Linked DNA regions of Rhinolophus ferrumequinum. The protein of the gene in region 1 binds, or shares a complex with, the protein of each later gene. Links are inferred from orthologs where the notes say so. Each region holds a gene or a part of one and is shown in the gene's direction. Other genes may lie near its edges.

What was found.
Region 2: the proteins of KCNAB2 (region 1) and KCNA2 are in contact, whole or in part, in a crystal structure (PDB 5WIE), measured with the Rattus norvegicus proteins. The link is inferred for Rhinolophus ferrumequinum from reciprocal best matches to the Homo sapiens genes KCNAB2 and KCNA2. Residues at the interface, in NP_059000.1 of Rattus norvegicus: Met193, Met196, Tyr199, Ser200, Arg203, Glu231, His234, Lys235, Ile236; in NP_037102.1 of Rattus norvegicus: Asp28, Glu33, Pro62, Met66, Phe69, Asp70, Pro71, Leu72, Arg73, Asn74, Tyr76.
Region 3: the proteins of KCNAB2 (region 1) and KCNA1 are in contact, whole or in part, in a crystal structure (PDB 1EXB), measured with the Rattus norvegicus proteins. The link is inferred for Rhinolophus ferrumequinum from reciprocal best matches to the Homo sapiens genes KCNAB2 and KCNA1. Residues at the interface, in NP_059000.1 of Rattus norvegicus: Met196, Tyr199, Ser200, Arg203, Glu231, Lys235, Ile236; in NP_775118.1 of Rattus norvegicus: Glu37, Met70, Phe73, Asp74, Pro75, Leu76, Asn78, Tyr80.

What each region holds. Positions count from the first base shown.
Region 1 is NC_046292.1:3,614,122-3,623,705, forward strand, and holds the start of KCNAB2 (voltage-gated potassium channel subunit beta-2), read left to right. Parts: upstream 1-5,878; intron 5,879-7,048; coding exon of another isoform or gene 7,049-7,056; coding exon 7,057-7,090; intron 7,091-9,584.
Region 2 is NC_046305.1:42,489,945-42,499,206, reverse strand, and holds the start of KCNA2 (potassium voltage-gated channel subfamily A member 2), read left to right. Parts: upstream 1-4,918; 5' UTR 4,919-5,404; intron 5,405-5,634; exon of another isoform or gene 5,635-5,772; intron 5,773-5,934; exon of another isoform or gene 5,935-6,076; intron 6,077-7,351; 5' UTR 7,352-7,610; intron 7,611-8,049; 5' UTR 8,050-8,212; coding exon 8,213-9,262. UniProt on the Homo sapiens protein: Voltage-gated potassium channel that mediates transmembrane potassium transport in excitable membranes, primarily in the brain and the central nervous system, but also in the cardiovascular system.
Region 3 is NC_046293.1:85,976,923-85,986,661, reverse strand, and holds the start of KCNA1 (potassium voltage-gated channel subfamily A member 1), read left to right. Parts: upstream 1-5,737; 5' UTR 5,738-7,159; intron 7,160-7,521; 5' UTR 7,522-8,036; coding exon 8,037-9,518; 3' UTR 9,519-9,739. UniProt on the Homo sapiens protein: Voltage-gated potassium channel that mediates transmembrane potassium transport in excitable membranes, primarily in the brain and the central nervous system, but also in the kidney.

The sequences.
Region 1 (9,584 bases):
CATTCTTAAGACCTCAGCTATTGAGTGGCAAGCCTCCTGGAAACTTTGAGCTTCCAGGATGATCCAGACTTTGGATGTGCAGCCACAGAGGGTCTAAGAAGCACAGGTCCCCTGTGACACAGTCATACCTATGTGCGATGGTCACTTCCATAAGAGATAAACCAGTTTCTGGGGAAGTGGGAAAGACGAGCAGCCTTCTGCGAAGCAAACAGAGGCAGCAAAGGCACAGCAGATGTTGTAGCAAGTCTGAGGACCCTAAGGAGTGAGCTCTTGGAAGGTAAGGCCACTGCCGGGGAATAGGCCACCTCGGGGACACATCTGTGCAGGGACAGCTTCATAAGCTTTTTGCACATGGTGCAAAGGTTCCAGAAGAGCTGTGATCAGCAGCTTTCCCAGAAGGCCTGCCAGGCCTTGGACGGCCACTTCCCTCCACCAGGGCCAGCCTCAGGCCCTGCCCAGCCCCCACTTGCCCCCACCTGTTAGCACATGGATCCTTGCCCGCCCAACTCCTGATATCATTTCACAGATGACGAAACCGACATTAGGGAAGATTGAGAGATTTGCCCAAGGTCATATACCAACAATACTCTAACCCTGGGCCAGGTGGGAACCCGGGCTGGGCCTCACCGCCCTCCCCGACACCCGGAAGGGTCTCCTTGGGTCACCCAAAGAGGGTGGAATTATGTCATCCACCCAGCCCGAGGAGAAGATAGAAGATGTGTGTGTGCAGTGTGCTCTGGCAAGATTCCCACTTAGAAACAGTTACCTCTTCAGTGCACAAAGTGCTAACTTTGGATCAAGACATCTCGCTAAATGAAGGTTCCTGCCACCCAAGTTCTCCTGTGCTCCAGCGTCTGCTGTGGAGAGATGAACGCATCTCCTTCTCCAGTCACTGGAGGTAGCCCCGCCACCCACTGGAGTCACGATTTAACATAATAAGGATGACCCCGGAGATGGAAGCCCAGAACCTGCTCCCCGGAGCCCTGAAGTTAGAAGTCTGTTCCCGTCCTGCAGGACAGTCGTCCTGGAGGCAGGCCACCACAGTAAACTTCACTTACCACGCACTCCTCGGTCGGCTGGCTGCACGTCCCGGTCTAGGCTGGGTCGCTCTGGCACATGCAGCCCTTTGGACCAGCGGGGTCTGGGACACGTTTGTCCCTGGTGATGGCAGAGTTTCCAGGCTAGTGTCCCATGGCCGAGGCTGAGACTGGCACGTCATCATTCTGCTCGCACTCCATTGGGGTGTGTGTGTGTGTGTGTGTGTGTGTTGGGGAGATGCCATAAAGTCACCCAGCAAAGGATGTGGATACTGGGAGAAGTAAGGGCTAGGGGCCCTCATCCCCTCCTATGCAAATCAGATGCCAGCTCAGTCACCCAGGAACATCTGGGTGACCAGAACTGTCCCCAACCAGGCCCAATGAGAAGGTGTCTTCTCTTATTTTGTGTCTCCATCCTGGACTCGCAGGCTCAGGTCTGACCTTTGTGGTTTTTCATTTACGGCGCATGTTCATTTTCTTCACTGTCCTGAATACACAGAATTCTTCCCATCTCGTGCAAGTGCCTCTGGTGGGGTGGGGGGTGGAGAGGGAGAGAGGGAGAGGAAGAGAGAGGAAAAAAGCAGGAAAGAGAGGGAAGGAAGGAGGGAGGGGGGAAGGAAGCAGAGTCAGAGGGCGAGAGAGAGGGAGGAAGAGAAAGGGAAAGAGAGAGGAAGGAGAAGGAGGGAAAGAAGGAGGGAAGAGAAGAGAGGGAAGGAAGAAGGGAGGAAGAGGGAGAGGAACACACTAGTAGCTGTGAGTGGGACACCCCGGGCATATTTCCCCCAGAGTAATATAGTCATTTATCTTTATTTCCAACAGAGAAATTGAGGGTCATCTAGGCCAGGCCCCATTTTGCAGATGAGGAAACTAAGGCTCAAGGAGAGAGAGGGCTCTTGTGTCTGGTCAAGGGTGCCTCGCCTTGGTACGTGGTGAACCAGGACTTTCTGCATGGATCACCTGGTTTATTCTGGTGCTTTCCCCTATGTGTGTATACATGTGCTTGTCCATGTTAAAATCATGCCATGGGTCCTGTTTTCCCGAAGGCTGCCACCCAGCGTCCCATGGCCAATCCCAGGACCCAGAGTTACACTGAAGGCCCCCGTGTAACTCTCCAGTCAGTCCGTGGAGACTCTAAACAGTGAGGTCTTGCCAGGGCTGCAGTCTGAGACCTCCAGGAATCCGTTTTTGTGTTTCCTTTCAGTTTAACTCACTTCCTGTCCTTTCCCATCCTCTGCTCTCAGAGCTCTAACTGGCAGCATACTGGCCTTTCAGGAAAAACTAAAGCTGAGAAATCACCCACAGTGACAGGGTGCAGGGGAACTGGATACATCCACAAAGCCAAGAACCCTCCCCGAAATTACCGGTTGATTTGAAGGAGGAAACGTGCCATGTCAAGGCGGAAGCCACCTCAAGCAAGTGACTGGAGCCTGCCTCTGCCCACGGGGATATGCACGTGCCTCCTGGCTGGGTGCCCACAGAAGACACAGCCTCACCCAAAAGGCTTAGCCAAATCAAATCGTGAGGCAGCAGACAAGTCCGAAATGTGGGGCAGTGTGCAAGACAAATGGCCTGAGCTTTTCAAAATGTGTCCTGAAAAACAAAAACAAAAACATGGTGGGGAGCTAGATGAGAGGAAAGTGGGGGAAATAACCAATGCCGTTTGTGAACCTTGAGTGGACCCTGGGTTATTTTAAATCTATAAAATATATGTTTGGAATAGGGGAAATGTGAATATAGGCTATATATCAGGTGACATTGAATAAGCACCTTCGGTGTGCCCTGGCGTGATGAAGGACAGAGCTCTTATTCTCAGAAGAGGCATGCTGCAGTGTGGACGGGGGGTGCCCTGAGATTGCAACTTTCAATGGCTCCAGAAAAAATGCATGTGTGTGTGTGTAAGTATGAATGTGTGAAAGAGTGTGAGTGTGTGTAGAGACGGAGATGGAGGGAGGGAAGGACAGAGGAGAGAAAGAACGGGATGGGAGAGAGAATGCATGCAACTGAGGCAAAATGTAGACCGTTGGTGAATAGGATGCAGAATATAGGGGTGTCTGTTGCTGTTCTGATTTGTTACAACTTTTCTGATGTGTGAAAGTTTTTCAAAACAGTAAGTTGGGGAGAAGAAAGACAGTGCCCACAGATGGAGCCTCCTGACCTTTGGGGTGTCACCATCAGCTCACCTTGTAAAGGATGACAGCTGGGACTTACTCGACAGCTTTCTCCTGGGCTCAGCATTTTCATGTCTTACTTCTCTTTGCTCGGGGAGAAGGTATGGGCAGGCTTTCTGAGTGCTGCCTGCTTCAGTTCTCCAAGTATAAATTGGGGTGTTTGCTCAAGGTCACACACAGACCAGGTACAAGTGCAGGAGACGGAGGGACCCAGGCTTCGGACCCCAAGTCAGCTGTCTCTCCGGAAGCTGCGAGAGGCTGCGGGTGCACCCCTCTGCCCGCCTCCCTCCCAATGCCTGACATTGGCAGCATCCCGCTAGCATGTCATCTCCTCCGTGATTGGCCACTGGATGGATGCCGTTGCTCCTGATTGGACGGTGACAGCTGCAGAGCCCAGAGGTGGGCTCTGGGCCAGAAGCTGGCTGCTGGTTCAGAGGAAGCCTGACCTTCAGAGTCCAAACTAGGTAGGGGGGAGGAGTAGGCCAGGTGGCCTCCCCAGGGACGCCTTGCTAAGTGCAGCAGGTGGTACCAGTTGTCCCTGCACCTGTAGTTGCCCTGAGCACCCTCCCTGGACAGAGAGGGCGTTGCACCCTCCAGAGAAGACTGCCCTTGTCCCTGGTGGAGGCGGAGTCCCCACACCCCTCCCTTCCCCTGTGCTTTCTCTGGATGAGCCTTCAGCAGGCTAAGCTCAGAGTCATTCATTCACTCCCTCATTCAACAAGTATTTGAGTGTTTAGGAGGGAAACACGATAACAAATGAGACAGTAAGTGAAGTATGAGGTATATTAGACGGTGACAAGTGCTAGGGAGAAAAATTCTGCAGGGAAGGGACTAGAGGGGTGTGTGGGAGAAAGGGTTTGCAGTTTCAGATAAGGTGTCTGGGAGAGACTCCAGGAGAAGGCCACCTTTGTATAAAGAGGAAAGTTGGGGGCAGGGGCCCTCAGATGGATCTCAGTGGTCAAAGAGCTCAGGTGGAAAAAGCAGGTGCAAAAGCCCTGAGGTTGCGGGTGGCAGGTTAGCTCAGTTGGTTAGAGCATGGTGATGGTAGCACCAAAGTTGCTGGTTCAATCCCCGCATGGGCCACCGTGAGCTGCGCCCTTCTTTAAAAAAAAAAAAAAAAAAAAAAAAAAGCTCTGAGGTTGGAGTGTCTGCGGGTTTGTGGGACCCCCAAGGAGCCAGTGTGTGGGAGTGGGGTGAGCAAGGGGGAGGCAGGGGATGACGTCCCACGCATCATGGGCAGGTGGGGTGGGGCACAAGGCCACTGTTGAGATTTGGGCTTTCACTCCGGGTAGATTGGGAAACCATCGGAAGGTTTCGAGCAAAGTAATGACATCATCTGATTTATGTTCTAGAAGGTTCACTCTGGCTCCTGTAAAGTAGATGGTGAAGGGTAAAGGTGGAAGCCAGGAGACACATCACACAGCTGTGTGTGTGTGTGTGTGACTGGAGGGAAGGGGACCTGCGAGAGAGAAGGTGGTGGCCCAGACCACAGTGGAGCTTATGGGGATCACCGTGAGAAGCTTGGGATTCTGGGTGTTTCTAAAGATGAATAGTGATGAATTTTTTGCTGAGCTGGGAACAGCGTGGGAAGAACCGGCTGGGGACGCGATCAGGAACTGAGCATGATCTGTTGCCGCCGAAATATTACCTCGAACTTAAAACAACTTTTATTACCTCAGTTTCTTCTGTGGGTCAGAAGTTGGGGCACAGCTTTCCTGGGTGGTGCCTCTGGCCTCACAAGGCAGCGATCAAGGTTTTGGTGGGGCTGGGCTCTTACTGGAAGGTTCCACTGGGGAGGGATCCCCTCCAAGCTCCCGTGGTGGTGTGAAGAATTCCTTCTTGTGGCTGTTGGCCAGAGGCCACCGTCAGTCCCTTGCCTCTCCAACATGGCAACTTGCTTCATCAAGAAGCTTCATCAAGAGCCAGCAATTAAGAGAGTCTGCTAGCAAGACAGAAGGCACGGAAGTGCCTAATCACAGAAGTGACATCCCATCACCTGTGCCACATTCTGGTGTTCGAAGCCAGTCACTAGGTCTAGTGTATGCTCAGGGGGAGAGGGTGTTGGGTCCCAGGAGCTGGGGTCACGGGGTGTCTGAAAAGCTGCTTCCTTAAAGCTCAGCAGTGGCACCATCGTTAGAGTAGGGGTCAGGGAAGGTGAGGCAGCAAGGATGGCCCTGGGTGACAGTGACGCCACCACCTGGGATGGGGAAGACAGTCCAGAGTACCAAGTCCACAGACGCCCTCTCGGACCATTTCTGCAGAGTTTGGGCAACAAAAAGTTGCTCTGACAGCCTCAGAAAAGCAGCCATGGGGGTGGGGGTGCAGGAGAAGGACCCCTGTGGAGCGTGGTGGGGGATGGAGAGATGGAAATCCTTCACAGTCCTTGGACCTGACCGTCAGCCTCATCCGAGCCCCCATGGTCGGTCTGTCTGTGCGATGAGGGACATGCTGATGCCCCGCAAACCGGGCCTTCACCCTCACAGAGCCTCCTGGCCAAACCTGACTGGTCTTTCTTAACCACCTCCCCTCTTGCTTTTCTTCCAGAATCTTCCCTCTGTGAAGAAGAGAGCAGGTCGGGACGAGTGAGGCCGGCTCCATGTATCCAGAATCGACCACTGGCTCCCCGGCTCGGCTCTCCCTGCGGCAGACGGGCTCCCCCGGCATGATCTACAGGTGACCCCCAGCCCCAGGCCCCCCACAGTCACCCTCCCTCTGGGAGGGATCCCCGAGGCCACTGTGTTTCTTCCCCTGGACCCAGAGGACAGTGAGATGCAGCGGGGGTGCGTTTTCTCTGAGGAAAGGGATGGAAGCCTTTAAGACCAAAATGGGGAAGAAAAACCCAGGAATTTCTGGGTGGGTTGGAGCCAGGATTAGACTCCCACCTCTCCTGGAATAATTCAGGAGTGGAATAATTCAGGAGAGGTGGGAGTCTAATTCCACGGAAGCCCAACAGTGGGGGGGGGGAGTCCCTCCTGGCTCTGTTTCTCTCATCTTACACTTTGAGGCTCCTCCGGACCCCCTGTGGCCGGAGGAGAGTAGGCTTCAGAAGAAGGGGGGAAAGGTTAGCCCTCAGCTCCCCCAACTGCCTGAGTGAGGCTCAAAGCCTTGCAGGCCTGTGGGGCACCGTGTCTGCCCATCTTCAAATGCCGGGGAGGGCGGGGTGGCCAGGTGCTCACCAGGCACCCTGGACCTGCTCCTTGAGGAGGCCAGCTCTGTCTTTCTGCTTGCCTCCCGGTTGGACCCAGGCAAACAGGCAGGAGCCACTGGGTGAGAACTGCTGGCACCCCGACCGGAGCACAGAGCCCAGCTGGCAGTCACCGACAGCTGGGGCCCAGGTGGAACCCTGGGGGCCCATCAGTGCTTGAGCGATTGGACCTTTCTAGATAATTGTCAGGGCCTGAGCCTCAGCGAGTATCCATGGAAACCACAGGGAAAAGGGGTGTCCCCACTTCATCCAGGTCCTAACACGCACAGTCACGTGAAGATTTGCCAGTGAGTGGGATGACAGGCGCTTCTTGGTTTGAGGGTTTTCAACTGTTGTTCTCAAGCATATTTCATTAAAATCCAAACAGATTGTCCCCCAGGGTTTCCCTCCTGTCTTCAGTTCCCATTCTGCTGTCCCCACAGAATGGGCGTCTACCTCCTTGCGCCACTGGGTGGCGCTTCTGCCGAGCACTTGGTACCCAGCGTGCATCCTCCCCGCCAGCCCTGAGCAGAGCGGGGTGGGGCTGGGGCTGAGGGGTGTCGCTGGTGGTTCTGGCTGGCACCTCCCTGTGGTTAATGCCAATTGTGGACTCTCTTTCTTCTCTCCCTTCTTTTCTCTCTCCTCCGTTGCTGTCGCAGTACTCGGTATGGGAGTCCCAAAAGACAGCTCCAGTTTTACAGGTAACGAGCCCTCCATTCCCCTAAATCCACAAGCGAAAGGCAGGGGAGTGGGTGGGAGGGCTGTGTGCCCAGGTTGGGTGTGCTGCTGGTTTCTCAGGAGCAAAAGCCCCCCGACGAAGTCCAGGCTCCGGTTTTCTCTGGGCACCCACCCATGAGGCATCTGTAATGTCCTGATGGAAAAACCGTGAAGTTGGGTTCATTGTGCTGATCTTCTAGAATTTGCTTTGATTGGAGCAAAGGGACTTGTGACACCTGCTTCACTCTCGCAGGCTCTACCTTTGAGCCTCCCGCCTCAGGCAGCGGTTTGTGCCTCTTGGGGTCTCAGAGTCAAAGACACTGTGGCCCATCCGTTCTCCCCGTTTCCTTGGATTTGAAGTGATGTGTGTGTAACCTGCAGCGCTGTCAGGGTCACCCAAGGCCAGCCTCACCTGGGGGTTGCGGCTCCAATGTGACCTGGATGCGGTCGGTGGGGGGGGGGGGGGACGTGCTAGCGTCTTTCTGATGCCTGCCCCTGCTTGGTGAAAGGTTGTGTCCCTGTGAGACGACTTGGTATCCAGGGAACAGACAGGTCAGTCAGCCGCGTCCTCTCGGGCTGTCCCTTCCTCCCTCTAGGCGGCCTCTTCCTAACCTGTACGGTAGGGGGTACCCCACGAGGACACATGCTTCCCGGAAAGTCTCTAACTCTATCTAGGAGTTTACTTTGACATTTTCTTCCTATCAGCAAACTGTCAGGGTGTGGAACTTGCAGGTGAGCTCCGCCCGCCTTGGGACTCTGTGGGGACCTCGGCGTGGCTCTCGGGGGCAGGGACCTGGTGTCTCTTGTGCATCTTGACATTCAGGCCTGGCAGGTCTCGCTCTCCGGCGTTGCGCACGCTCACCACTGATGGGGCCGGGGGCAGTTACCGGCACCTCCGACGTGACCGTGGGCCTGGGTCCTCAGGCTCATTTTGCCACCATTTCAGTGTCCCACTCCTTACAGAGGGCGAGAGAGAGATGACCAAGTCTTTCATTCTACTCAAATTTTTGCTCAGTAAGGTCTTTCCTGAAATAGATCTGAATGTGGGCTTGCGAATGCGTTCGTTGGATAAAATGGTCATCACTGCAGTGGTACATAACATGTCACTGCAAATGTGTGACACTCATCCCAGCAGGATCTGACCAGTGAAACCAAACGTGCACTTGAACTGCGTCCTCACGTATCCCGAGCCCACCTCACTCCCAGAAGGAAAGGAATGAGGTGAGACAAAGGCAGAAAAGTCCAGGCACAGACCGGCCAGCTGAGAGGGCATGGCCAGGGAGAGGGGCCGAGGAAGTTGTGGGGTGTAACCGAGTGGAAGTGAGACTGTGTTCCACACCCTCACTGGCCCTTGGAACGCCACGGATCCAATGTCTTGTCCACCCCTTTAGGGCCCCTCTGGATAAGAATCCGGTCTCCACCAGGCCTTCTTGCCCTGAGGACGAGTTCTGTTGGAGAAGTGCATTCCCACGTCCCTCTCTGCCTCTCAGCTCCTCGTGCAATGCCACAGGCTCTGGATGTCCTGCCTTTGGTCTCCAGTGTGGTTGCTTCACACTTATGTCTCTTGTGGGGCCCCTGATGATGACCTCTAAGGGGGTAGGATCTTTGTCCAGCATCCAGGGTGCCACTCCCAGCGGGGCATCCTTGTCACCCAGGCGCTGACATGGCTCTCAGATGGTTCAGTCAGCAGTGTGGAGCCTCTCCTATAACAGAGCAAAGGTTTTCCAGGCGTGCCCCCCGTCAGGCAGGATGTGACAGACAGTAAGGGAGCTAAGACCCGGTATCCATCAGCTGTTACGCAGAACGCCACATAACAAACAGCCCCCAAAACTCAGTGCTGTACAGCAAGGAGCATTCATTTCTCGCTTATATGTCAGTGGGTTGACTAGAGTCAGTTCATCTAGGCTGGGCTCAAGGCAGCACTGGGGCTTTGAGCTGGACCTTGAGGTCTCGACAGGATTGAACACAGAAATCAGGAGGAACGTTCCAGGAGATACAACAGCCTGAGAACAGGAAGTGGTATTTACACAGACGGGCCATCAGGGCCATCGAGGGGGCTGGGGGTCTGGTGAGGGAGGGCCTGAATGCCAAGCTAAGGAGCTCGGGCTGCACGGAGTGGGCACTGGGGAGCCATCGCTGGAGTCTGAGCAGGGCAGTGATCAGGAAGCCCCGTCACAGGCAGTAAGACGGAGGACAGAGGCTGGATGTGGAGACCAGGAGAGATGGAGAAGGGCTGGCCCACAGGGACCACAGGAAGAGGGAGTGAAGGGTGCAGGGCGCAGGAACCATGGACCAGGGTGCCAGGACCATGTCCCCGGGCTTGTCAACCACCAGGCACTGAGGGGGACGTTGTGCTGACAGAGAGGAGCAGTGACCCGGGGAGGAGTTGGGCCTCATTCAAATCATGTCGTGGGAATGACCACCACCCAACAGTGAGGCCCAGGGCCACCTCCAGCCAAGGGGGACATGAGACATAAC
Region 2 (9,262 bases), on another chromosome or scaffold:
ATGACCTCTCTGAGCCTCCATGTCCTCTCAGTAAGATAGTTACAATAGGAGCCCTTTAGATACTAATGGTCTGGTTCACTAACCAGGGTGAAGTCGAAGAACTAGTCAGAAACAAGAAGGGGTCATATATATCATGTAGTCCAGCTTTCCCATTTTACAGATGTGGAAATTGAGGCCCAAAGAGGGGAAGTAACTTACCCAAGGTCACACACCCAAAGGTCACCTAGATCGTGGCAGAACTAGGGCTGGCACTGCCAGGCCAGTGTTCTTTCCCTGATGTCAAGTTGCTTCTCATTTGCTCTGTTCCCCTTCTCTATAGACCAAAGACAGTAAAGGGGAGAGGAGAAGGACATGGGATTATAGTAACCATCGGGCCCAAACAAAGCAGCCACATGAGGTCACATGAGTGGGGAGGAGCAGAGCCAGGACTCAAGCCTAGACCTGTCGGAGTTCAGGTCTTAACCCAGTCCATCTGTTTTCAACCAGTTAGAGCCTTCGAAGCAGTTTAGTTTGACGCCGGTATAGACCTCTAGGAAATAACCGATTGTGAAGGGCTTTGTATGCCTTTTAGGACACGTAGGTTGTATCATAGCAATAGGGAGTCCATGAGGACCTCAAAGATAAGTGACGCTTTAGAAGGACCACTACAGCAACTGAGGGGAGACGAGGTGAGGGAACAGCTAGTCTGAAAGCCCGGGACCCGGAAAGGTTGCAGCAGACCATGCCCTCTGGTGGCTTAAACCAGGGTAGCAGGGGCAGGACAGGGAATCAGAGAAGCGGAACAGATGTCAAGGCCAAGTGAGGGACTGGATTTGTCGGATGTCAGGGGTACAAGAGCTGATAAAGTCTCCCAGGTTTCTACTTTGGGCAGCAGGGTGAGAGGTGGCGTCTCTCCCAACAAGGGGGACGTGAGGGCGAAGCAGGCCTAGGAAGTGGGGTTGATGAGTCTGTGGCTCCAGGGAGAGACCTGGGCTGAAGACAGAGCACCCAGGGCCCAGCCCTGGGCCCAGCACAGGCCCGAGGTGCTGGGTCGAGCAGCCTTTGCTCCAGTCTTTGATCTGACCCAGGCCAGCTGGCTTGTGGGACTGAGCTGGTTACATCTGTGGACCAGTGGGGGCTCCGTACAGATGGAGCCGGCTGAAGGGTTGGTGTAGAGCAGGAATTGTCCCTCTTACAGATGGGAGGAGGGGGCCTCCACGCACATCCAGACCACCCTGGGAAACCTGAGTGAGCCACCAATGCTTCAGGTGGTCCCGGGGATATGGCCTGGAACACAAAAGCTATGGATTGTCACAGCTCATCCTAAACCTCTCCCACTTCCATTCCTAATAGAGAAGACCATGGTGGCAACGCTGAGAGGATGACCTGCTGACAGCTGACACTTAGTGTTTGCTTTGGGACAGGCACCGTTCTAAGTGCTTTATATTCCAGGCACACAACAACATTTATAGGCGAGGAACTGAGTCACAGAGCTAAAACATGGCAAGCCTGGAATTAGGCCCTAGACCTGGCATCAGTTGTACTTGAACCACACTATTCTGCCTTTGGGTGTTAATATCAGGGGTCTGATGGTGAGACACCCAGCACAGTGTCTGACACAGAGCAGCAGCTCCAAGAGGGGAGGGAGGATCTCCCCTCTTTAGCCATTCCTTAAAATAGTCTTTTGTCTGGCCAAGATTCGCAGTAGAGTGGGATGAGAGTGTAGCAGCTAGTTCAGGACAGGACCAAGGCCCAGGCCTCTGCACAGGAGTTCCTCAGAGGCAGCTGGAGTTAATCTCAGAAGGCTTCTTGGAGGAGGCAGCCTTGAGGTAAGTAGGGGGCTGGAACGGCTGCTCATTTCATTTCCAGGGGACCCTCAGACATTAGTCACGATGCACACTGGCAGCGATGACAATCACAAGAACAGTGTACTCTTCCACGCTGACCAGGTTTTTGCTTCTCCAAGCACGTTCACACATTTTCTCCTCTCCGATCCTAACAAATGAGATTTTAATACATACAAATAATGAATGTTCGTTTCCTTCCTTCTTTCTTTCCTTCCCTCCTTCCTCTCTCTCTCCAAACACTGTGAAGCAAGGGGCAGATAGGGGGCAATGCTATCTTTCCTATTTTACGAGTAAATTGCGACACAAAAAGGTCAAGTGAGAGACCTTGGGTCACACGGCCCTGCATGCCGAGGCAAAAACCCAGACTGCAACCCTGGTCAGATGCTCTGCCTTGTCCGCCCTGTGCCGGGGTGAGGGACGCTTGGCCCTGGGCCCTGCAGATGTGAGACACATCAGCTGAGCTGCTTCAGGAAGCGGCACAGGGAAGAACCTTGCACCACTGCCCCGACTCCCTTGGTGTGAATAGTTCATTACCACCAGCACAACCCCTTCTAAAACAGACCTCCCGTCAAGTTGGACAACCTCCCCAGATGTGTGGGTAAGCATCTGCGAGCCCTGTTTGGCTGAACCCATGTTCCTCAGACCAGGAATTGAGCCCCGAGGCCTGACCCCCAGCAGTGGAAGCGGGCAGCAGAATGCCATGGTGATTTGTGGAGTCAGCCAGTCTTGAGTTCCATCCCAGCCTCGCCACTAAATTACCCTGGACAGCAACTTGTCCTCTTTGAGCTTCAATATCGTCAACTGTAAGATGGAGATAATGGCTTGCTTCCCACAGGGTGGTTGCAACGATTAAATCAAAGGACTTATGGAAAGCTGTCAGCCCAGGGCCTGGGCTTGTATTCCACGCGTCCCTGCCCTGCTTCCTGTGGGCTAGAGGGGGTGGTGCTGCCACAGAGCAGTGGGTGAGTGGGTTGGTTGGGGGAGCAAGCATCAGCAGAGGTGGCAGTCATGCAAGGAAGGAGCGCTGGTCCTCTGGGAGTGACACCTGGGAAGGGAGCTCGTGTAGTTTTCTGTGTATATGAATTGTGGTGGGAAGAACTAAGAGACCCTCCCTCCTGCACCTGTGGTGCCTGGGTGGGGTGGGTGTAGGCGCACTCTCATAAACCCCTCTTTTCAATGACTGTCGTCACAGACCACAGGAACCAACAGATTCTGTATGTGGCGCAGGTGCAGGTCACTCTGTGGCAGTCACCAGTCCTTCCCTCTGCTGAAGGCATGGACCCCAATCAGGAGACGGACTAAAGGGGAAAGGAGTGGTTTGGGGGTTTGACCTACCCGGAGGGGCCAGGGGGGAATCAAGGGGCTTTCCAGCTGTTCTTCTGTGGCCAAAAATAAGAAATGGTGACTGCTATAGGGCTAGAAAGCGAGTTAATCATGATTAAACACCTAGGTTAAGCTAGTTGGCTGACTACTCTTTATAACGTTTAATCCTTACCACCCTGGGAACTAGTTTTGCTGTCCCACTCAACAGATTAGGAAACTGAGGCTCAGAGAGTTTAAATAACTCACCCAAGTTCACCCAGCTAGCAAGTGTCGGAGCTAGGAATTGGGTCTGTGTGCGTTTCTCACACAGGACCGCCAAACCAAGAGAGAGCTGTCTGGGGCAGAGGCCACACCCCACGCTCCTGAACAACTCGTTTTATTTCCTTCTCTCGTTCATTCCTTTTTGATTGTGGTTCACACTTAGATCAGGCTTTAATGGGGGGAGGCCAATCAGATGGAACAGAGGTCAGAAGAAGACCCCAAAGAGGGAAGTGAAGTTCAAGGGCTACTCATTCTACGTGAGCAGTGTGGTGTCGGGGCCCGGCTGTGTGTCCTGGAGTCTCAAAGACTTCCTTCAAGTCCTGGAGTCATCACTCAGTGACTTTGGGCAGGTTGCTTCACCTTTTGGGCAGGTTGCTTTGTGGCAGGTTGCTGCCACAGTTTCCTTTTCCCTGAAACGGTACCGAGGTAGAAACGACTAGAACTGAGGACTAGACGTCCCACAGGGCTAGGGCTGCTTAGCGCAGTCGCTGACACATGGTAAGCACATGTCGCCAATTAGCATAATTATTAACTCTCCGTCAAGAGTTGTTCCTGTCCACGGCTTTTGTTTTAACAAAGGAGAACAAAGAAAATATATAGACACGATCAAATGGGTAAGACTTTTGGGCTTGAATTGACACGAGGGCCCACTGTGGCAAGAACAAGGGGCCACCGCCCTGTGGCGCCGGTCAGGGGAGGCTTCCAGAAGGAGTGTGGAGCAGAATTTGGTGACAGAGGTGGGAAGGGCCGAGACCTCAGGGAAAGTGAGGGCTGGGCAAGCTGGGAAGCAGAGAGAATCGTACAATAAAAAGCTGGTGATTGGGCAGGTTGAGAAACAGCCAAAAGCTAAGCCAATAGGGCTATGAGGAAAGTTTCATAGGGAAACAGTGGAGAAACCATCATTTGTGTAGTGTCCACTGGGCGCTAAACTGTTTACCTAAACAGTTTCACCCTTATGACAGCCCATGAGATATCCTCATTTTGCAGATGAGGACACTAAGATTCAGAGACGTGGATTAATTTGCCTAGTAACTGTCAGGGTTCCAAAACACCCAGGTCATCCTTTGGTGGGACATTGACCACCCAGCTTCAAGGGGCCCTGCCATGTAGTCATCTGCCCTTCCAGGCCACCCTCTGCAGCTCTAGGTAGAGTCCCCGGATGAAAGGCCAGAATCTCACAGAGCTGGGCCTTGTGGGTTCCATCACAGCTACGGACCTAGAGAGGAGGTTCTCTGAGAAAGAAGGACCCAGAAGGTGCCTTCCTGGGACTACAGCCTCTCTGCATTGCAGTCTAAGTTCAAGGAACTGGGGTTTGGAAGAGGGATCTGAAGAACAGAACTGGCAGGGGTTGGAGTGCTTGGGTGGGAGCCACCCAACCCTCTCAGATACCCTGTCTGAGCAGAGGGCAGGGTGGGCTTCCCACACACGTTGTTCCCAAAGCAGAGGCCCACCCCAGCGTGCTGTGAGCTGCACTCCTATGTTCAGAGTCCCGTGGGCCAGCTGGTTTTGTAAGGTCTGTGAGGGGGCCCGTTTGGTGAGTAGCTGGCCCTTCCCCAGGGCCGCTGCAGGTTCCCCAGCCTTCCCTGCCCGGGCCCTGGGGGAGGGGTCCGGAGGACCGGCTCTGCAGTTCTGCGGGTCCCTGTGGCTCCTCCCGGTGGGGCAAACGCAGCAGCAAGTTTCTGCCACACCACGGCCCGCACCTGCTGCATTTCCGCGCCAAGCCAAAGCTGTGGATGGGGAAGAGGGAGGTGGGGAGGCAGGCCTGGAGGAGGGGGCGAGCCGGCGCAGGGGGGCCAGCAGTGGGTCTACAGATTCTGTCTGGCAGCATCGTAATGATAGCAACACCTGTCCCTCGGGCCGGGGATAACTGCTATCGATTGTTTGCTCCTTGCCTACTTCATTATGTTGGCAGGAGCCCCTCCTGACCGCTCCTCAACTTCTGCGCCCTGCGTCCGGCCCCGGCAGCACCCAGCTGAGCTCTCCACGAGGTTCTGGTTAGTAAGCTGGGCTCTGCCAAAGAAGGGGGTGTCTTCCTGATGGGGTGGGGGCCGAGATCCGGGGACCCACCCCGGCGACCCGCGTGGCGGAGGCGGCTGGCGCGCGCCTCGCCGGCCCCGGCCCGGCCCCGGTCGGCCCCTTTAATTCGAGTTCGCAGCCGGGCCAGGTGCGGCGCTGCGTGGCGCGGTGCGGCGCGGTGCGGCTGCGGGCGGCGGCCGGGCTCCGTACGCGCCGCCCGCGGGACTGCAGAGCCGGCTCCCGCCTGGCCGCCCGCACCCCGCCGCCGCTGCCGCCCGCCACCGCCGTATCGCCGGCGCTCGCGGTCACCCCGGAACATGGAGGCTCCGCGTGCCCATCGGGAAGGGTAAAGCGGTGCCGGGGCGTTGGGCCGCGCGTGCTGCTTGCCGGGTGTGGGCTGCGGCGCCCGGAGGGGCTGCGGGGCACCAGACGCTGCCGCCTGCAGCGCGGAGGGCTCGCGCTGCGTCCCGGGCGGGCGAGCTGCGGCCGGACCGGAGCGGACGGGGGGTGGGGAGCTGGCGCCCTAAGGAGGAGGAGGGCACCATATGGGCTCGGGGACCCTCCGGGCTGTGCGTGGCGCGGGGCGGAGGGCGCAGCGAGGAGCTGGCGGGTGATGATGGGAAGTGCAGCTGACAGCATAACCATGTCTGGTAAATAGCGCTGGTCGGTGGGACCCGTATCACTCAGGACGGCTGGGCTGCAGGCTCTTCTCCGGCTCAGAATCAAAACAGCTTTGCGGCGGAGAAGGGCTTTTCCGCTTCCCTGGGGCCGCGGGCTGCCGTGGAGCCCCCGCGCTTAAGAGGAGCTGAGATCTGGGGTAGCCGCCTGCTCCCCACCCTCCACAGTTCAGGCTCCAGTGTTTTCCAGTGGAGATGGAGCCTCGGCGGTCCCTCGGTTGGACCCCAGGGGCAAAAGAGCTGGGCTGCGCTCGGGCCTGCAGCGAGAGCCCCCCCGAACCGGGCAGGAGGGGGTTAAGGTAGCGCTGACTGCCGTGGCCAGCCGGTGGGTCTGGGCCGCCCGCGCAGAGCCGAACGCGAAGCACGCCGGGCGGAATCCCGGCCAGGGCCCGGAGCAGTGGGGAGAGGACCCAGACCCCTCCCGACCCCGGGGCCGGCAGGATGGAGCCGGCAGGGGGCCAGCTCGGATGCCGGCCTCAACCGGGCTCCCCTCTCGCTGCTGCCAAGCCGCCTGGCAGTCAAACTGGCTGAGCGTCCGTTCTGTGCTCCCTGCAGAGGAGACGGGAGGGATTTTTTCTTGGGAAGAAGTCGGTGGTCGAGCGCCTGCCCGGTTCAAATGCTACCCGCCTGATGGAGGCCTGCTGCCTAGGGATCCCCAAGGGAGAGTCAGTCCTGGGCCCCAGCCAGCCAGTTTTGTAGAGCGGATCTTTTTGTGTGAGGAGTCTCCCTACATGAGCTCTGAAGGAGTATGTGTTGGGAGGGGTTTGGGGGGACTCTTCTTCCTCCAGAACCTTGAGGAGGTCAGAGTGTGTAGTAGGCTCCAGTCTGGGAAGCCCTCTCTTGCAAGATGCTGTGTCCTGACCTGGGGGTGGGAGGGCTTTGCTCAGAGTCTCTCCCGATGGCTGCTGAGGACCAACAGGGAGTCTGGCTCAGCCCAGAGAGGCCTCGGAGGAGACAGTCTCAGCCAAGCCTGAAGGCTGGTTCCCTGCGAGAAAATGCTTCCAGCCGATGGAAGCCTGCCCAGAGGAGGCTGGAGGGGGCTGAGGGTTAGTCTCAGATGTGACACCAGAATGGAAGGGGGCATGGAAGGGAAGCTGCCAGAGCGCTCCTAAATCTTGGCACCAGCTGCCCAAAAGCCCTGGTTCCACCTGGCTGCTGTTTTATCCAGGCAACGTCACACCTCCTGAGGACAGCCAGGAGGGCTCCAGCTTATGCTGACCTTTGCATCTCATCTCCTTCCTTCCAAAGGCTCCAGACCCAAGCTCTGCCGTCCTCGAGTCCTGCATGCCCCTGACCAGGCCCCCCACCGCCCCTCCAGCCTAGCTCAGCCCTGGGGCTCACCTCCAGGACCTGGAACCTGCCCTCCTGCCCAGAATGACTCACCATTATTTCCAGCTCAAGTGTGAAGACATGATGGGGAGTCCGGCTGCCTGTCTGTGTATCTAGGAGTCCGTCAGCATTTGATCAGCTCTGCAAGGAAGAGAACTTCAGATCCCTGCCTTGCCAGGTAAATCAGTCTATCATTTAATAACAGCCACGTGTAGAATCATTTCGGTGGGGGCAGTGAGGGACACCCAAGTCCAAGATTCACCACTGACAATACCTCCCAGGGTGCAGGTATCTGCAAGACATGAGTTCGGTACCTGGGGGAGGGCTCCCTTCCAGCTTCTGGTGTGGGGTATGCTCCATGAATCCCGTGCAGTGCAGAGGGGCCTGGACTGCCACCTTCCTCCAATGCAGGGCATTCTAGGGCTTTCTTGAGAGATGGCCACCGACTTCCCTGTGATTCCCCAGCCAACTTACAAGGTGAAAGTAAGTTGTGCTTTCTGGTGGTGGTAGTAGCGCTCGTGTTTCTGAACGCTTGGCTGAGAGATGGGCGACTCAAACTGGCACCTCAGGCCGGGTTGCCAACACGGAACGGTCTCATGTCCTGCCTTGTCTTTCAGCCGAGCGAGGCTATCTCTCCGGCTCTCAGGGAGCCCTTGGGGCTCTCCCGCAGGAGCCCAGGCCCATGCTCCTGAGTTTCCTGGAGCCGTCAGCAGCACCCTGAGCTCCCTGCTGCCAGGCAGCTGGAAGGCATAGCGTGAGGCACCTCTCCTAGTCCCAATTATGACAGTGGCCACCGGAGACCCAGCAGACGAGGCTGCTGCCCTCCCCGGGCACCCACAGGACACCTATGACCCAGAGGCTGACCACGAGTGCTGTGAGCGGGTGGTGATCAACATCTCGGGGCTACGGTTTGAGACCCAGCTAAAGACTTTAGCCCAGTTTCCAGAGACCCTCTTAGGGGACCCAAAGAAGCGGATGAGGTACTTCGACCCCCTTCGAAATGAGTACTTTTTTGATCGGAACCGGCCGAGCTTTGATGCCATCTTGTACTATTATCAGTCCGGGGGCCGGCTGAGGCGGCCTGTGAACGTGCCCTTAGATATATTCTCTGAAGAAATTCGGTTTTACGAGCTGGGGGAAGAAGCGATGGAGATGTTTCGGGAAGACGAAGGCTACATCAAAGAGGAAGAGCGGCCTCTGCCCGAAAACGAGTTTCAGAGACAGGTGTGGCTTCTCTTTGAATACCCAGAGAGCTCAGGGCCTGCCAGGATTATCGCTATAGTATCTGTCATGGTGATCTTGATCTCCATCGTCAGCTTCTGCCTGGAGACGTTGCCCATATTCCGGGACGAGAATGAAGACATGCATGGTGGTGGAGTGACCTTCCACACCTATTCCAACAGCACCATCGGGTACCAGCAGTCGACTTCCTTCACTGACCCTTTCTTCATTGTAGAGACCCTCTGCATCATCTGGTTCTCCTTCGAGTTCCTGGTGAGGTTCTTTGCCTGTCCCAGCAAAGCCGGCTTCTTCACCAACATCATGAACATCATTGACATCGTGGCCATCATCCCCTACTTCATCACCCTGGGCACGGAGCTGGCCGAGAAGCCAGAGGATGCCCAGCAGGGCCAGCAGGCCATGTCCTTGGCCATCCTCCGTGTCATCCGGTTGGTAAGAGTCTTTAGGATTTTCAAGTTGTCCAGACACTCCAAAGGTCTCCAGATCCTAGGTCAGACCCTCAAAGCCAGCATGAGGGAATTGGGCCTTCTGATATTCTTCCTCTTCATTGGGGTCATCCTTTTCTCTAGTGCTGTCTATTTCGCCGAG
Region 3 (9,739 bases), on another chromosome or scaffold:
ATTCAGCAACAGATTCAAAGGGGCCCCACGAATATTTGTGGTGTTCTATCTCTGTGTAGCTCCTTCCTCTCCAGTACTTTTAACTTTTAGCCTCATAACTTTTAGCCAGCTCAGCCTCAGTCTCCAGGCTCTGCCTCCTAAACGCAATAAGAATGCCAGGCTGCGTTCGGGTTCTACCGCCTTGCATAGCTTCTGAAAAGTACCTCCAGGCAAAAAGCCAAGGTGAACATAGAGCTCACCTCATTTGTTTTCCCTTCCTAAGAGATCTCAGCTCTGCCTTACCGGTTACCCAGACAGTGCTGCCTCATGTCTTCTACCCAGTTTTCTAGTTGTTTTGGTGGGAGGAAAAGTCCAGGACCAGTTACTGTTGAATGCTGACATTGGATGCAAGGACTCTTGACGGTAGATAATACATTTGTGCTTTTCTCTGATTCTTGTGTCCTTGGTAAATGTTTATTAAAGATCTGTCTAATGCAATGATTTCGGGCCTTTATGGTCACTTTTTCTTAAAGCTGGCATTTCATCCAGTTCTAACTCTATGCCAGGCACTGATCAGTACTCAATTTGTATTTTATCCTCATAACAGCCTGTGATATAGATACTACATTTTACAAAAAAAAGGAGATTAAGATGTAAAGTGATGAAGTGACATGTGTAAGATCAGGGTGGTTGAATTAGAACTCATCTCTGACTTAAAATCCTAGGCTTTTTAATGGTTCCAGTGTACTCTCCCGCTGAAATTTCAATAAAACTCACTTATAAATCTGGTCCTCAAAAATAGGATTTTTGACATGTACCAAAAATACTCGTATGTGTATAATTTCAGAGGGTTCGCAGGCACCTGGAGCGCATCCACAAATAAGCCCAATCACAGACACCAGCAAGAGGACCCCTGGCTATGTAGCCATCCATACTACCATTGTCAACTTGAACCCTTGGTGAACGTCCGAACTTTCCTTCCAGCCTCCTGTGGTTCTATATCACCTTTACAATTATGCTTCATAACTTGTAAGACGGCCATTGTCCTGCTTGTGACCCTGCCCTCAGCACGGGCAGGATCTAAGGTGAATCCACATGGGCATATCCTTGCCTGGTAAGACCACTTCTTCTCATGCCATGACTTGCCTTACCACTATGTAACACTTAAGAAATGGATCCTAAAAAGGAGGCTATTTTTAGCACTAGTTTTACATTTTCTCATAAAAGATCATCAGCACTAATTTTATCATGATCCACTTCCAAGTTTATCTCAAACACTCAGGGCCTTGTCACTGAAATGCTTGGTCCCTCACCACAAGTGAGCCTGCGGTATTACCAGGTAACCCTGCTATGTTTCCTAATTCTTTCACTTTCCTAATCTCCTGGGTTATTTCACATTTTTTCCCTCCAACTTCTAAGACCTCCTTGCCATCTTTATTTGCAGCTGGTGACTTTGCTTCCTTTTTTACTGAGAAAACTTCTTCTGATTGCATAAGTGAATGTCCACAAACACATCTACTAAATGACTTCGGTTTGAACTCTGTTCCCTTTCTTCCATTTCTGTAGACTAACTGTCCTTTTTCAAGGCCACTCTTTCTTTTGGATCTTAGATTCCATTCTCCTTTTGTCTTCTCAAGAACACGGCTTCAGTTTTTCTCTTTCTACTGCATCAACAATTTTCCCTTTCCTCCTGAATCAATCCCCTCCGCACACCGTAACACATATTATAACAGCTCTCATCTTTACGAAGAGTAGGCTTGTCACTCTTCATCTTCTCTCAGCTACTACTCCGTTTTTCTTTTCCCGATTGACCCCCAAACTCCAAGAGTTGATATTACCCACTGTCATAAGTTCTTCTCTCTCAATCTCTTTTCAACTCAATTTTTCTAAATCCAATAGTCAATTCTAAATTCCTCATTCTACTCATCCTATTAGCAATATTCAACAAAATTGATCTCTCTCCTCAAAATACTGTATTCATTTATTTTCAAGGACCTCCACTCTCCTGGTTTGCTCCCTTTCCCAGTCACTTTCTTGGTCTCCTTTGCTGATTCTTCCTTCTTTTATTGGCCTCTAAAAATTAGGACATCCTGAGGCACAATCTCTCAATGTTTCTTCTTCTCTTTGTGCCTTCATGTCCAAGGGCCCTAGTTCAGTACTCTGGCTTTAACTACCATCTACCCCAGTAGTTCCCAGTAGGAGTGATTTTGCCCCCAGGGGACACTTTTGGTTGTCACAACTGGGAGCAGATGCTACTGGCAGCTAGTGGGTAGAGGTTAGGGATGCTGCTGAACATCCTAAAATGCATAGAACAACAAAACAAAAATACCTTCCACAACCAAAAAGCAACAGCATCAACAGTGCCCAGCCTGAGAAACCCTGATCTACCCATCACTCCTCTCTGAACTCTAGACTCATGTGCCCAACTTCCTACGCAACATCTTTTGGATATGTAACAGACTTAGCATGCCTCAAACTGAAGTTTGGATTCTCTCTGCCTCAGCTCAGTTTCCCTAGAAAACAGAACCTGAGATAGGACTTGCATTTTAACAGAAGATGTGATTCCTAGTAGTGAGAGTAAGGGAAAAGGGAAGTGAGATAGGGAAGGATAGTGTGCAAATACAAGGTGGTGACTTGCCAAGCTGGCCACTCCTTCATGAGCTATAAAGAGATGCAGCCCTGTTATTAGACCATACGTTTGCTTGTCCCTGAAAAGAATAAAGGGAGAGAGAATTTATCTACAGACTCTGTCCTATCTCTTACGAGATCAGACAATTAAGGTCGTGAACTCATCCTAGAAAAAGTGCTACATACCTTATTGCTGAACGTCACTACGGTCACCTTTGAAGTCCTCCCCTTGGGAAGCTGTGCATGAATGCCAGTGCCGAGTCCACCTTTCAAAGCAATTTTGGAATTCTTTTTCTGAAATGGCCATCAGAGTTGTCGTCGTAGTAACCTTGATGTCCCAAATGTCACCAAAATGTCTTCCTTTCAATATTTTCTTTATATTCGGGTAAAGAAAAAAGTCATTGGGGGCCAGATCAGGTGAGTAGGGAGGGTATCCCAATACAGTTATTTGCTTACTGGCTGAAAACTCCCTCACAGACAGTGCTGTGTGAGCTGGTGCATTGTTGTGATGCAAGAGCCATGAATTGTGGGCGAAAAGTTCAGATTGTCTAACTTTTTCACGCAGTCTTTTCAGCACTTCCAAATAGTAAACTTGGTTAACTGTCCAGTTGATACAAATTCATAATGAATAATCCCTCTGATATCAAAATAGCTTAGCAATATTGTTGCAACAAGTTCACGAATTTGTCAGACCTCGTATGTCCTACTAGGCAAGTTATCACTGGTCCCCTGAGTTAATGCCTCCACATGGTGTATTGTTCACCCGGACCTTTGTTCAGTCTTGAGGAATCCAGATTGTATTCATTGCAGTGTGGTCAACCTCATGAGGCAGAACTCTGCTGCCCACACAGGTGGCTGTTCCAGCAGCAGCTGAGGCAGCGCAAGTTGCCACAGGGCAAGAAGAAGAGAGAGGAGGGAAGAATCTGAGGAGAGGCCTCAACTGCCCAATACAGTGATAAATAAGACACACAAGGGGCCTTATTTACATAAGAGCCAGACTTTGTGTAGCTCACATTCTAGTAGGAGAGAAGCTGTCCAATCCACTCTTTCAGTAAATGACGTCCCCATCCTCATAGTTACTAAGGCTAGAAGACATTCTTGAAACATTCCCCGCCCCCTACATCCCAAATCCTGCTATCTCTATTGTAAAAATCTAATCCTATTCCAATCACTTCTCACAAGCTTACCGCTCTCTTCCTTGTTCATGCCATCACCACCTGTGTTACTTTATAACCTACAAACTCGCGCCTTGTTTCCAGTAGCCAGAATAATCTTTGAAAACAGCAAATCATGTTTTAGTGCTATACAGATCCAAGTCCTCCAACATCCTCCACAGCACTCAGAATAAGATGAAATGTTCTTACAGCGACCTCAGACGCCGGCACCATCTGGACCCTGCCTACCATTGTGACCTACTTCCTTGGTCACTTCTTTCTAGCCTCCCTGGCCCTCTTGTTTCCCAAATATTCTAAGGTTGTCCTTGCCTTAGAACCTTTGCATTGTCTCTTATACATAACGTTTTGATCTTGCTATTATTCCTTGCTTTCTCTCTTCTTGAAGTTCTTTGTTGATATGTTACCTCTGCAGAGAGGCCCTTCCTAGACATGTAAATCTCTATGTGTCACTCTCTATCCCTTTTTAAACATTTTCTTTACCTGACATTATAATGTGAGGTCTATTTGTTTATTATTGGTCTCTCCCAGCAGAACGTGAGCTCTGTGAGGTCTGGGGCCTCATGTGCCTTAGTTATTACTGTATCTGTAGGGCTAGAACATGTCTGACACACAGCTGGGGCTGAGTAAATATTTGTTGAATGAATAAACACCTTCAGATCCTTACCAATGGTGAGCTTGCATCAAGAATGATGAGTTCCTTGCTCAACAACTTTCTTCCAGGTCCTTGGAGGTCCGTTCCTGCTCTAAACACATCTGCTAGGGATGTTGGAAATTTCCGAATCTTATTATGCCCCCTAGTAAAGACCTGACTTTAGGAACCAGTCTGTGAATTTTGTCTAGGAAGGCAATCACCAAATGCTGAATTAGGGCAAGTGCATCCACATGAGGCTAGGAGATGAGAGTCCTGGAGGCGTTGAATAGAAAGAAGGAAGTTACAGGCAGAGTGAGGTACAAGAGCAGGGTGGGGAACTCCAGGATTGCTAGGACATGGTCAGAAGATGTTTATCACGTCTGGTAGGGCTGTCTCCCATAGGACCATAACAGCAGCAGCAGCAAGAGCAGCAGCAGCAACAAAAACCAGGGACTTGTACACCTAAAGCTGATGTAGAATAATATTGTATGTCAACTATAATTATATATATATATATATAAAATGTATATCTATATATGTATATGTATATATAAATATATATAATGTATAGTCACGGTATGTGGAGTACAGCATAAGGAAGATAGTCAATGGTATTTTAACAGCTATGTAAGATATCAGACGGGAAGACCTTGGGGGTGGTTATCACCTTGTGAGGGGTGTAAATGTCTCATTAGTAGGTTGCTTTGTACACCTGAAACTATTCATTTTTTTTAAGGGACTTGTCGGTATTTCAGCACACAGCTCCATGTTTTATTTGCAATAAAGCAGTAGTGCAGAAAGGTAGAGTGAGTGGGATAGAACATGTGTGTGGAAAGTGGGGAAAGGGCAGAGTTTTAATATGGGAGGGAGGAGTTTAAGAGAACTAACTCTATTTTTGCAAAAGAAAAGCTGAGATTATGCATCCGGAGGAGTGGAGGGAACAAACACTTTTATTTTTCTGAAAAGAATGCTGGAGTCTGAATCTGGAGGAGGGACTTAACTAGTGCCCTACCCAGGATTATTGCACTGCCTGGACAACCCCGCTGAGGCCCCGGCTTTCCACTAGCCACAAGAGAGTGGCTTTGATTAAAGACGTGGGTGGTGTAGGCACCCGGCCACGCGAGCCGCGGTGGTGCGAAGGGGTGGTCCCAATGCAGCGGGGGACCAATCAGCAGCGACTCCGGGCTCTGGCAGCCTGCTTAGAGCCTCCGCTGCAGTTGAACTACCGGAGCTGCTGGCTGCCGGCTTTGGAGCTGCAGGCGCCCAGGCGCAGCGCCTCCGAGGGCGCCGCTGGAGCCGCACTCCGCGTGCACCACGCACGCCCCTGCATCTGCTGCCCTGCGTCTGTGTGCCGACCCTTTCGCGAAGAAGTTGCAAGCCTTGCAAGTGGCCCTGTGAGGCTCTAGGCCGGGAAAAGAGGCTGCGGGAGGAGGGACGTAGGTGGGAGGTGGGCAGGTGACTTGCTTCTCAGAATCATCCCAATTAGCACCAAGTTGGCAGACAACCCCCAAAAACTCACGAAGCCTTTAGTGGTTGCCCACATTCTCCGTATTTCGTAATAATCTCACTGTAAGAAAATTTCCAACTCCCATTGTAGGTCAAAGAGGGACAGACTCTTAGCACCACCGTCTCGCAATAACACTACATAGAGCAAACCCAGTTGATCCTCAACTGCAGAGCTCTACCCAAAATCCGCACGTCTCCCAACTCCAGCCGGGAGAAGCTGGGTGGACCCCGCAGAGGGCCCCCTGCGGGATGGGCAGGATGGCTCGCCCAGCGTGGCCACCGAAGCTGGTTATTGTGCGACTGCACAAACACAACCCTATCCGAGGAGTTTTGCCAGGAACAACCGCCTGCATTGCGTCGGACCTGACCATTTGAAATGTGGAATTCCCGGTGAAGGTCGCGGCCAGGGACCGCGCGTGTGCGGGGCTGTGGACCACACGGAAAATAGAATTGGTGGTCGGCTTTTTTGGCAGAAGGAAAAAGCTGTGCAGGCAAGGGTGGGGACCGAATGGCAACCCCCCTCTACCGAACCACCACCCCCTCATATTTTCCCTCTACCTCCTCGCTCTTGCCCTCCCCCGCCCTCCCCAACCCACGCCTGGGTGGGCCAATCGCTGCTCCGCGCTCCGGGCGCTTTCTCAGGTTTCTGCTGATCTTGCAGCGCCCAGAAATGGACCGCGCAGACCCGCCGCCGCACGCACCCTACCCCACTCGGCGCTCCTAACAGCTCCCCGCGCGCCTCTCAGCCTCCGCGAGGTCCACGCGGGGGTGCGGAAGCGGAGGGCATCCAAGAGCCATGTAGACCCAGGTTCTTGCTCGCCTGCTTCCTTCGGGATCGAATCAAGGGCTCCCATAGTGTTCGGAGGGGGGCGAGAGTGCTGTTTATCGTCATTTGCTTCAGAGCTTCGGGAGAGGGTGGCATTTTGCTTTTCCGCCCCGCATCCTCCGGAACTCCCTGCACCAGAAGAGAGCACGCCGTCTCCAGGTTGCTGGCAACGGGTGAGAATGGGGATAGGGAGTGGACATTTCCCCTGTAGCTGCTCAGAAAAGCGATTGTCCGACTGAAGGGGAGTAGCGCGAGAGGGCGAGGGCGGCGAGTTTGCCCCGGCGCCTCGCCTCTCGGATGCTGCTGCGGCGGCGGCCGCGTCTCCCGCCCGTGTACTGCAAAAGCGACCTGCCGCATTCCAACTCCGGCTCTCCGCGGACTCAGCACCACTCCTGCGCCAAGCCGGCCGGCCAGGTAGGGGGCCCCCCAGATCGGGGCTGCAGAAGCAGGGGTTGGGACGATGGGTGGGGGAAAGCCGGGGGTGTAGGAACGCTGCCTGGGACCTGGAGCTTCCCCAGCGTCTCTCGGCGCTTTTCCGATCTCTAGTTTAACGAAGTTGTAAACAGATCGGCTGTTGGGCACTGGGGAAGGTGGGATGGAAGAGCCCCAAACTTGGATTTCCGGGTGTCTGTGTGTGTCTGTCTGTGTGTATGTCCAGTAAAAAGTCCAGTGCTTTCTAACAAAGCTAGAGGTCTGTGCTCTTCAGTGTCTGTAGGTCCGTCCCATCTAAATGCTTCTGATTTTCTACCCCCGTATCACTTTCTATTTCTCTGCAGCGTCCATCGATCGCCCTGGTGGGAGCTTAGAAGGCGGCAGGCGAAGAGGGGTAGGAGGGGGGAGAGCCGAGGAGAAACAGAGGGGTTGTCAGGCGAGGGCATCTGCTGAGCTGGCTCTGCACCCGGTCCTAGGAGAGCTCGTGGAGGGGAGGGGAGGCCAGGGTGACCCCGAAGTGATGGCCCAGCTCGCTAGAACAGCACTGCGTTAAGGCACCTCCGAGCAGGAAGAAACACCAGCTCTCCCCCCCACCCCAACCCTGGGCAAAAAGGTGCACCCCGGGCCGCAGGCGAGGGGGATTCCAAACTGAGCAAAAGGTAGGGTGGAGAGGAAGGGAACCAGAAGCGAAGTCGCAGATCTCTTGACCGGCTGGCTTCGAAGCCCCTCCCCTTGAGCGTGGGGGAGACACGCACTCCGGTGGGGGGGGCGCTTGGGTCCCCCCCACCCCTCCTCTCTCCGTCCTTCCTACCACCGCTGGCCCTTTCCTGCTCTCTCACCCCTGCACCCGGCTTCTACCATGACGGTAATGTCTGGGGAGAACGTGGACGAGGCGTCCGCCGCCCCGGGCCATCCCCAGGATTACCCCCGGCCAGCGGACCACGAGGACCACGAGTGCTGCGAACGCGTGGTGATCAACATCTCCGGGCTGCGCTTTGAGACGCAGCTCAAGACCCTGGCTCAGTTCCCCAACACGCTGCTGGGCAACCCTAAGAAGCGCATGCGCTACTTCGACCCCCTGAGGAACGAGTACTTCTTCGACCGCAACCGGCCCAGCTTCGACGCCATCCTCTACTACTACCAGTCGGGGGGCCGGCTGCGGAGGCCCGTCAACGTGCCCTTGGACATGTTCTCCGAGGAGATCAAATTTTACGAGCTGGGCGAGGAGGCCATGGAGAAGTTCCGGGAGGACGAGGGCTTCATCAAGGAGGAGGAGCGCCCCCTGCCCGAGAAGGAATACCAGCGCCAGGTGTGGCTGCTCTTCGAGTACCCCGAGAGCTCGGGGCCCGCCCGAGTCATCGCCATCGTCTCCGTCATGGTCATCCTCATCTCCATCGTCATCTTTTGCCTGGAGACCCTCCCTGAGCTGAAGGACGACAAGGACTTCACGGGCACCATCCACCGCATCGACAACACCACGGTGGTCTACACTTCCAACATCTTCACGGACCCCTTCTTCATCGTGGAGACGCTGTGCATTATCTGGTTCTCCTTTGAGCTGGTGGTGCGCTTCTTCGCCTGCCCCAGCAAGACAGAGTTCTTCAAAAACATCATGAACTTCATCGACATCGTGGCCATCATCCCCTATTTCATCACCCTGGGCACTGAGATCGCCGAGCAGGAGGGCAACCAGAAGGGCGAGCAGGCCACTTCGCTGGCCATCCTCAGGGTCATCCGGTTGGTAAGGGTTTTCAGAATCTTCAAGCTCTCCCGCCACTCGAAGGGCCTCCAGATCCTGGGCCAGACCCTGAAAGCTAGTATGAGAGAGCTAGGGCTGCTCATCTTCTTCCTCTTCATCGGGGTCATACTGTTTTCCAGTGCAGTGTACTTTGCAGAGGCGGAAGAAGCTGAGTCGCACTTCTCCAGTATCCCCGATGCTTTCTGGTGGGCGGTGGTGTCCATGACCACTGTAGGATACGGTGACATGTACCCTGTGACAATTGGAGGCAAGATCGTGGGCTCCTTGTGTGCCATCGCTGGTGTGCTGACAATTGCCCTGCCCGTACCTGTCATTGTGTCCAATTTCAACTATTTCTACCACCGAGAAACTGAAGGGGAAGAGCAGGCTCAGCTGCTCCACGTTAGCTCCCCTAATTTAGCCTCTGACAGTGACCTCAGTCGGCGCAGTTCCTCTACTCTCAGCAAATCTGAGTACATGGAGATCGAAGAGGATATGAATAATAGCATAGCCCATTATAGACAGGCCAATCTCAGAACTGGCAATTGCACCACAGCTAACCAAAACTGCGTTAATAAGAGCAAGCTACTGACCGATGTCTAAAAAGCCAAGCAAACAAAAAAGCCCCACTTAGCCGCTTGAAAGACTTACAAAACAAAACAAAAACCCTAGTGACCCATGTCACTCTTTGTCGATACTTTACTGAATAGTTTTTGAATGCTCTATTTAACTGTCAATGCATTGTTGCATTGTGAATTTTGGGGGCGGCCAATCAGAAGCTTCCAAGATCTGTGGGGGAAAAAAAAAACTATTTTCATTTTATT